2 linked regions of the Callithrix jacchus genome follow. The protein of the gene in region 1 interacts with the protein of each later gene in a pairwise test. Links are inferred from orthologs where the notes say so. Each region holds a gene or a part of one and is shown in the gene's direction. Other genes may lie near its edges.

Region 1 (3,640 bases):
CAGCCCTGGTGGCTGCAGACAAGAGCAGGAAACTGGATTGGTGTGTCTGGGAGGTGGGGCGCAGGCTCAGTGCCAGCTCTGTTTATCCTACGGGGCAGGTCCTGGACGTGCGGGAGAACCCCAACCTGGTCATGCCACCCAAGCCCGCGGACCGTACCACTGAGTGGTACAACATCGACTTCTCGCTGCAGAACCAGCTGCGGCTGGCAGGTGCCTCTCCTGCTACAGTGGCTGCGGCTGCAGCTGGTGAGTGAGGAAAGGTCTCGCCTGGGAGCCGGGGTTCCTCTCAGACCTCAAATTATGTATCTGTAAATTGGGTGGGATACAGCTTTCTGGACCCTGGGGGATGGAGTTGGCCCCTGGTTGGTTGCAGGCGAAGGGGGCGGCAGGCCCAGAGAGGGCTCAGCTGTTTGCCCTTCCCCTAAGCAGGGAGTGGGCCCAAGGACCCTCTGGCTCGCAAGATGCGGCTGCGGAGGCGCAAGGACTCAGCCCAGGATGACCAGGCCAAGCAGGTGCTGAAGGGCATGTCAGATGTTGCCCAGGAGAAGAACAAAAAGCAGGAGGTAAGCCAGGCCTTGGCTTCTACTCAAGGCTGACCCTGGCCTTGATCCTGGCCAAGAGGGATGGGGGACGCTGGCAGCGAGATTAGCTGTGCAGAGGCCCTGTGGGCAGCAAGTAAAGACCGGCCTGAGTGGCTTCACAGAGTCACGCCATGCTCTGTGACTCTGCCCCCAGGAGAGCACAGATGCTCAGGCCCCTGGCGGGAAGGTGCGGCGCTGGGACCAGAGCCTGGAGAAGCCGCGCCTTGACTACTCGGAGTTCTTCACGGAGGACGTGGGCCAGCTGCCCGGCTTGACCATCTGGCAGATCGAGAATTTTGTGCCTGTGCTGGTGGAGGAAGCCTTCCATGGCAAGTTCTACGAGGCTGACTGCTACATCGTGCTTAAGGTGAGGGCTGGCCATGTTGTTAGGGGCCTCCTCTAAGATGGCTGAGTCCCCAACTCCAGAGTTTTGTTCAGGGAGGCCAGGTGGGAGGTGGGTAGGCCGATGGAGGTGGTCCAGGCACAGGGTAGTACAACACCGCTGGGGCTGGGAAGCCCGTGCTGTTCAGAGTGGCCTCTCTGGGGTGGCCAGAAAGCCAGGATGAAGGCTGACATGACCGATGCATTGGCTCCCAGACCTTTCTGGATGACAGCGGCTCCCTCAACTGGGAGATCTACTACTGGATTGGTGGGGAGGCCACGCTCGACAAGAAAGCTTGCTCTGCCATCCATGCCGTCAACTTGCGCAACTACCTGGGTGCCGAGTGCCGCACTGTCCGGGAGGAGATGGGCGACGAGAGCGAGGAGTTCCTGCAGGTGCCAGCCCCTTCTAGAACTGGGGGCGGGCAGAGTGGGGGACCCAGGGAACTCTGGTGCAGGGGCAGTGGGCCCAAGGCAGGTAGGAGGAACAGGTAGGCAGGCAGGGAGCTGAGGCCAAAGGGGGCTGGATCACAATACTGTGATCCAGATCCTGATCTGTGTTACAGACCTAAAGCAGATGGCAGCGTAAGGTCTAGGGGTGGCCAAAGCCTGGGTCAGTGGAGAAGAGTTCAGGAACACAGGGCAGAATTCAGCCCGGCAAGGATGAGGGTGCAGGCTTTGCATGGGAGCAAGACCAAATGACAAGGGAGCTAAGAGCAGAGGGAACTGAGAGCAGGGTGGAAGGGGTGTTGCCAAGAGCAGTGAGGAGGTGGGGCCAAAACCTGTTACTAGGGGGCGGGGACGTACCTGGGTAACAAGATGGCAGGGCCAAGCGCAGGACTAGAGTCCAGTCTTGAATAAATTTTGAGCCCTGTTAGCCACCAGCTGGTTACACCTAGACATATGTTTGCATGTACACACACATGGAGTTCATGTGCACACACACCCCCACCCTGAGTTTTTACCCATATTCACCCAGATTTCCACTCTTCCACGAACCCACTTGCTTGTGTACTCCAAACATGCTGCAGGCATCTTTACACGCGTGGGTGAACATACCCATATTTTCATACATCCCAACACCCCAATGTGTATATGTTTATAGGCACAGATCTGTTTTTTTGTTTTGTTTTGTTAGACGGATTCTCACTCTTGTCGCCCTGGCTGGAGTGCAGTGACACAATCTTGGCTCACTGCAACCTCCGCCTCCAGGGTTCAAGCAATTCTCCTACCTCAGGCTCCTGAGTAGCTGGGATTACAGGCATGCACCACCACACCTAGCTAAATTTTGTATTTTTTTTTTAGTAGAGATGGGCTTTTGCCATGTTGACCAGGCTGGTCTCAAACTCCTGAGCTTAGGTGATCTGCTCTCCTGGCCTCACAAAGTGCTGGGACTACAGGCGTGAGCCACCGTGCCCAGTGCCCAGCCAGATCTGTTTTTTGTTTTTGTGTTTTTTTTTTTTTTTGAGATGGAGTTTCGCTGCTGTTACCCAGGCTGGAGTGCAATGGCGCGATCTCGGCTCACCGCAACCTCCACCTCCTGGGTTCAGGCAATTCTCCTGTCTCGGCCTCCTGAGTAGCTGGGATTACAGGCACACGGCACCATGCCCAGCTAATTTTTTGTATTTTTAGTAGAGATGAGGTTTCACCATGTTGACCAGGATGGTCTCGATCTCTTGACCTTGTGATCCACCCGCCTCGGCCTCCCAAAGTGCTAGGATTATAGGCGTGAGCCACCGCGCCCAGCCATTTTTGTGTTTTTTAATAGAGTTTGCTCTTGTTGCCAAGGCTGGAATGCAATGGCACAATCTTGGCTCACCACAACCTCCGCCTCTCGAGTTGAAGAGATTCTCCTGCCTCAGACTCCCAAGTAGCTGGTATTACAGGCATGTGCCACCATGCTTGGCTAATTTTGTATTTTTAGTAAAGATGGGGTTTCTCCATGTTGGTCAGGCTGGTCTCAAACTCCCGACCTCAGGTGATCTGAGCAGCACCACCAAGGCCAGGTACAAGGACACTGTAGGGTCTTTTGTGTGAAGGAAAGGGGTGTGAGCCTCACTGATGACTCTGCATCATGCTCTCAGGCTCTTTGCAGAGAAAATTAACAAGAATGAGCAGAAAGGGAAGGCTGAGATCACACTGCTGGTGCAGGGCAAGGAGTTCCTGGGGTTTTCTGGGAGGTACTGGGTAGGGAGTCCTCTGAGCTCTGCCTTGGCCTCCCAGAGTGCTGAGATTACAGGCGTGAGCCACGGCGCCTGGCCAGATCTGCTTTTTTAAAACATCATAGATTTGTAGCACTCAATTCACCTGTATGCAACTCTGTACCACACCTGATGGGCGGTGTGGTTGGTGGGGGAGGGACAGCTCAGTGATGAAGAACCACACCCTCACACACAGGTGTTTGACAATGACATCTCCTACATTGAGGGTGGAACAGCCAGTGGCTTCTACACTGTGGAAGACACACACTACATCACCAGGTGAGACGTGTAGGCAGTGGGGAGCATGGAGCTGGAGTTGGCTGGAAAGGGGTGGAGAGGAGGGTATTAGGGATAAATTGGGCCATTGGTGCCCACACACCGAGCCACTCTTGCCCTGTGCCCAGGCTGTATCGTGTGTATGGGAAAAAGAACATCAAGTTGGAGCCTGTGCCCCTCAAGGGGGCCTCTCTGGACCCA
Region 2 (4,163 bases), on another chromosome or scaffold:
AACCTCCAACCGCTTTCCCTGTCACCGGGGTGGGGGGCCCCTTCCTCTTCCCACTTCCATCCAGCTTCCAGGTTACCTCCCTAAGAAGCCAAAGGCAATTTGGTCACATTAGTTGGTTGGAAATACTCCAAAATGTTAACCATCCTTATCACTGGAGGAAAAAAATGACAGGTGACTTCAGTACAGCACCCTCTCCTCTTCCATCAGTACCCTCCCTCCCATCCTTCCCCAGGTCCAGCCACTGGAAGTTCCCCCCAGCCCCCAAACACAGCAGTCACTTTCCCACCCGGTACTCCTGCAGGGGCTTTTAACCCTTACCTAAACCTCTGGTTTGATTTACTTTTAAATCCACCTCTAGAAGGTGGACTGAGCTTTGGAGAGCACAGGTTAAGTTCATTACTTTCTCAACAACTAGGAGAGAGCTGCGATGCACCTGCCGGCATCCTAGAGGCTGGAGACCCAAGAAAGAAGTGACAAGTCCCTGATCTCAGGGGGCAGACATCGGGGAGAAGGAGGGATGCCAGCATGGAAACACGCGTGTAAAGACAGAAACGCGCACATCCACACGATGTTCCCAGAGCCTGTGAAGCCAGCGCCAGGAGGCTGGGCAAGGTCACAGGAACCCGCAGTAGCTGCGGGTCCGAGCACACCTCGGCCTGCCCAGAGCCCAGCTCCCACTCCAGCGACCGACTTCGACTCCGCCTCACCGCGGAATGGGGGCGCCAGGCTGAACAGTATCCTGTGCCCACCCCTCCGTGCAAATCCCTCAAGGCAACCCAGCCCTCCGCGCAGGTCCCCAGCAGACCGCTGCCCACCGCCCTGGGCGCGCCGCTCCGCGATTACCTGCCAGCCAAACAGTCCCCACGGAGGTGCGCACTCTAGGGCTCCCGGTGCCTCAGGTCCCGCGTGCCCGGCTCTGGGCATCCTCATTGTCCCCGGGGCATCGGACCCCCATTGTCCCTGACCCCTGGCGTCTCCGTCCCCCGCTCGCTTCCCCCGCTCCAGCGTCTCCAGCCCCTGCAGTCCTCGGCCCCAGCTGTGGACCTCCGGCCCCGGCGTTCCCCAGATCCACGCGCCCTCAATGTCTCGGACGCCCATCGTCCCTGATCCCTGGCGTCTCCGCCCCCCGCCGCCGCCCCCCGCCGTCCCTGGCCCCCGCTGCGGACCTCCGGCCCTGGCTTCCCCTGGGTCCCCGCGGCCCCCGTCCCCCGCGTCCCCGCGGTCCTGGCCCCGCGCCCGCTGACGCCATGACGCCGCGGCGGAGGGAGGGGCCGGGGCGGTGCGAGCGGCGGGAGCAACGGGCCCCGCGGCAGCTGCGGGCGACGCGGTCGATGGACATGGGCACCCAGGGCTCGGGGCGCAAGCGGCTCCCCAATCGGGAGCGGCTCACGGCGGAGGACGACGCGCTCAACCAGATAGCGCGGGAGGTGAGCGCGCCGGGCTGGCAGCTGGGGGCGCGGGGCGGGCGCGGGGCCGGGCGGCTGTCAGGGTCCCTCCGGGCGTCTGTCCCGCTGCGCGTCCTTCCGGCTGAGCGTCTGGCCCCAGGCGGGCTGGCCCGGCAGGCGCGCGCAGGGGCGCGGAATCCCTGGCGCTGCACCCCGGCCGGGATCTCGGCGGCCTGCGGACCCGGCACTCGTCCTCCAGCCCCGGGCCCGGCCCGCAACGCTGCGCGCCCTCCCCCACCCCGGCCACCGGCGGCCGCTGCGCCCTCGGGAGAGGAGCCGGCGCCGCCAGCGCGCGAGGTGGCCCGGGCTGGCCGGGCGGGGGCGGGGGCGAGCGCCCCGCTTTGTTGTGCCGCATGGGAGGGGGCAGGGGCTTAGGCCCGACCTGGAGGCAGGGACGGTCCCCGAAGGCCACATGGCCATGCCGAAATGGCCGAGTCGCTCCGGTGACCATTTGTCGTGGATCCATCGATGTCACTCAAGGTGCAGCTCAGAGATGAACTTCGGGGTCACAGTGAATTGTTTCAGGACTGAGCCCGGAAACGGGTCCAGGCCACGGAAAGGTCTTCATTAAAGTTTCCTGGGCAGAGTTGATTGTAACTAAGATCGTGTTTGGTGATGAACTTTACCTGTGACAAATTGAAGGCGCACCAGAGTGTGTATTTGTACAATGCCTTTTTTATTTCCCTCAAGGGTTCTACCTTAAGGCTAAAGAATGTATGTGACATCCAGAAAGCCGTCCAGGGACAGAGAGCTGCAGCTTGGGAAAAGGGACCCCAATAGGTTGGGGACCCAGGGGGACAAAGGAAGCTTAATTTTTGACAGTGTTCCCTTTGTATCATTTGAACTGCGTGCCAGGTGGATGTATGAAAGCAAAGAAAGTCTCTGTATTGCAACCTGCCTCGCAGGTTCTCTTCCGTGTTGGGTTTGATGGCGGGCTATTCCACATGTGATTCTTTCCACAGGAAACACTTCTGAGCCATTTGGGCTGTTTGCCTCAGTCAGATATTCTGGGAGGGTCTACTCTGTAACCAGTCCTTAGGTGTTTGCAGTTGTAAATACCTGATTTTGCTCTTATGGACATGTGGCAGTCACTCAGTATTTGTTGAATATTGAGTGAATCAAGACTTCTGTTTTTCTCTGTATAAGATAGAAAAAAGCTTTCCAGGCAAAGCTTTATTCATTCCTGAAAGCCCACTGTGACCTCCAGGAGACCTCCAAACTCAGCCTTCTCACATCACACCAGGACTAAGTCTCCCTGGCTCCACAGCACTCCACCAGCTCTTGCTGCCCACACCCGGCGTGGCAGTCAGATGTCTTATTATTTGTTCACCTGTAGAAGGTGACATCCAGACAGGCAGTATCTTTTGTATCCCAAGAGCGCAGGGCAGAGCCAGACACATACTGGGTGTTCCTCAACGTCTGTTACGTTAATTAATAAACAAAAGAAGTACAAGGCATTTAAAGGACCTTTGGCTAAATATAGACATTTGCTAAATATAGTAGCTTGAGCAGAACTCCCTCCTGTGAAGACTGTCATTTATGTATGCATTTGACCACAGTGCCTAACAAGTGTTTCTTGCGAGGGCCAGAGGTGACCAGTGAATTGCAAGCCTTGTCTTGCTGTCTGTGGTTGTGGGGCAGAAGAATGAGAGGAATGAGAGTTCCCAAAGTTTGTCTTTTAACCACTGATGGTTTCGTTGTTTTGTTTTGTTTTGTTGACACAGTCTCACTCTGCCACCCAGGCTGGAGTGCAATGGAACAATCTCGGCTCACTGCAACCTCCACCTCCTGTGTTCAAGCAATTCTCCTCCCTCAGCCTCCCCAGTAGCTGGAATTACAGGTTCACACCACCACGCCTGGCTAATTTTTGTATTTTTGGTAGAGGCAGGGTTTCACCACATTGGCTGGGCTGGTCTTGAACTCCTGGCCTCAAGTGATCTGCCTGCCTCAGCCTCCCAAAGTGCTAGGATTACAGGCGTGAGCCACCGTGCCCGACGTATCCGCTGGTTTTCATAAAATAGATTGAAAGGAAAGGCGAGGGAACACTCCTTGGGTTGAGAGCCCCGGGGTCCTGCCTCCTGCCCCTGGAGATCATGTTGAAGTTACAGAGAGAGACTTGTGGGTCAGAGCTGGGCTTTGAAACGACATAGTTCTTTGCCAGCTGTGCCATCCTAGGAAGGTGAGTTACTCAATCTCCTCTGAGCCTCTGTTTTCTTACCGCTAAAACAGGGAAGAAGAAATTTCTCCTGGCTATCAGGATTAAAGACAGTGGGTAGCAACCTAAAGTATGTCACTAGGCAGTCGGTAAATGTGAGAGCTCCTTACACACCCCTCCCTGGAAAACCCAGCCATCGGCGCAGCTGTCACAAGGACTGAGTAGCACAGATTGATAAGGGTTGGAGGGAGCAGGTGTGACATGTTTTAGTACAAATTAAATTCTGTCTCCCAACTGTGAAAATGAAAATCACTATTCAAATGGCAAATACCTATGCCTGGAATTCACTGGGGTTCTCATGGGAATCCACAACACTGTCGGAGGTTCAGTACTTTCTTCCTCACTGGCTGACTCAACAGATACAGGTCATGGCATCCAAGTTCCTGCCCTGGGGAGACTGAAGAGTCAGGGAGGAACCCGACAAGGACCTGCCTTCCAGGAGTTGAGTCAGAAAGGGCTCGACACCTGTAGGTCAATAGTACTAACAGACACCAGGGAGAGAT

What was found. The genes of interacting proteins can lie anywhere in the genome.
Region 2: the proteins of FLII (region 1) and LRRFIP1 interact in binary tests that used the Homo sapiens proteins (3 or more experiments, as listed by UniProt). The link is inferred for Callithrix jacchus from reciprocal best matches to the Homo sapiens genes FLII and LRRFIP1.

What each region holds. Positions count from the first base shown.
Region 1 is NC_133506.1:82,680,893-82,684,532, reverse strand, and holds part of FLII (protein flightless-1 homolog), read left to right. Parts: intron 1-98; coding exon 99-246; intron 247-426; coding exon 427-563; intron 564-735; coding exon 736-948; intron 949-1,178; coding exon 1,179-1,358; intron 1,359-3,359; coding exon 3,360-3,442; intron 3,443-3,567; coding exon 3,568-3,640. UniProt on the Homo sapiens protein: Is a regulator of actin polymerization, required for proper myofibril organization and regulation of the length of sarcomeric thin filaments. It also plays a role in the assembly of cardiomyocyte cell adhesion complexes.
Region 2 is NC_133507.1:158,928,582-158,932,744, forward strand, and holds the start of LRRFIP1 (leucine-rich repeat flightless-interacting protein 1), read left to right. Parts: upstream 1-1,267; 5' UTR 1,268-1,331; coding exon 1,332-1,427; intron 1,428-4,163. Other genes in the region: RAB17 (ras-related protein Rab-17), read right to left, coding at 844-1,098.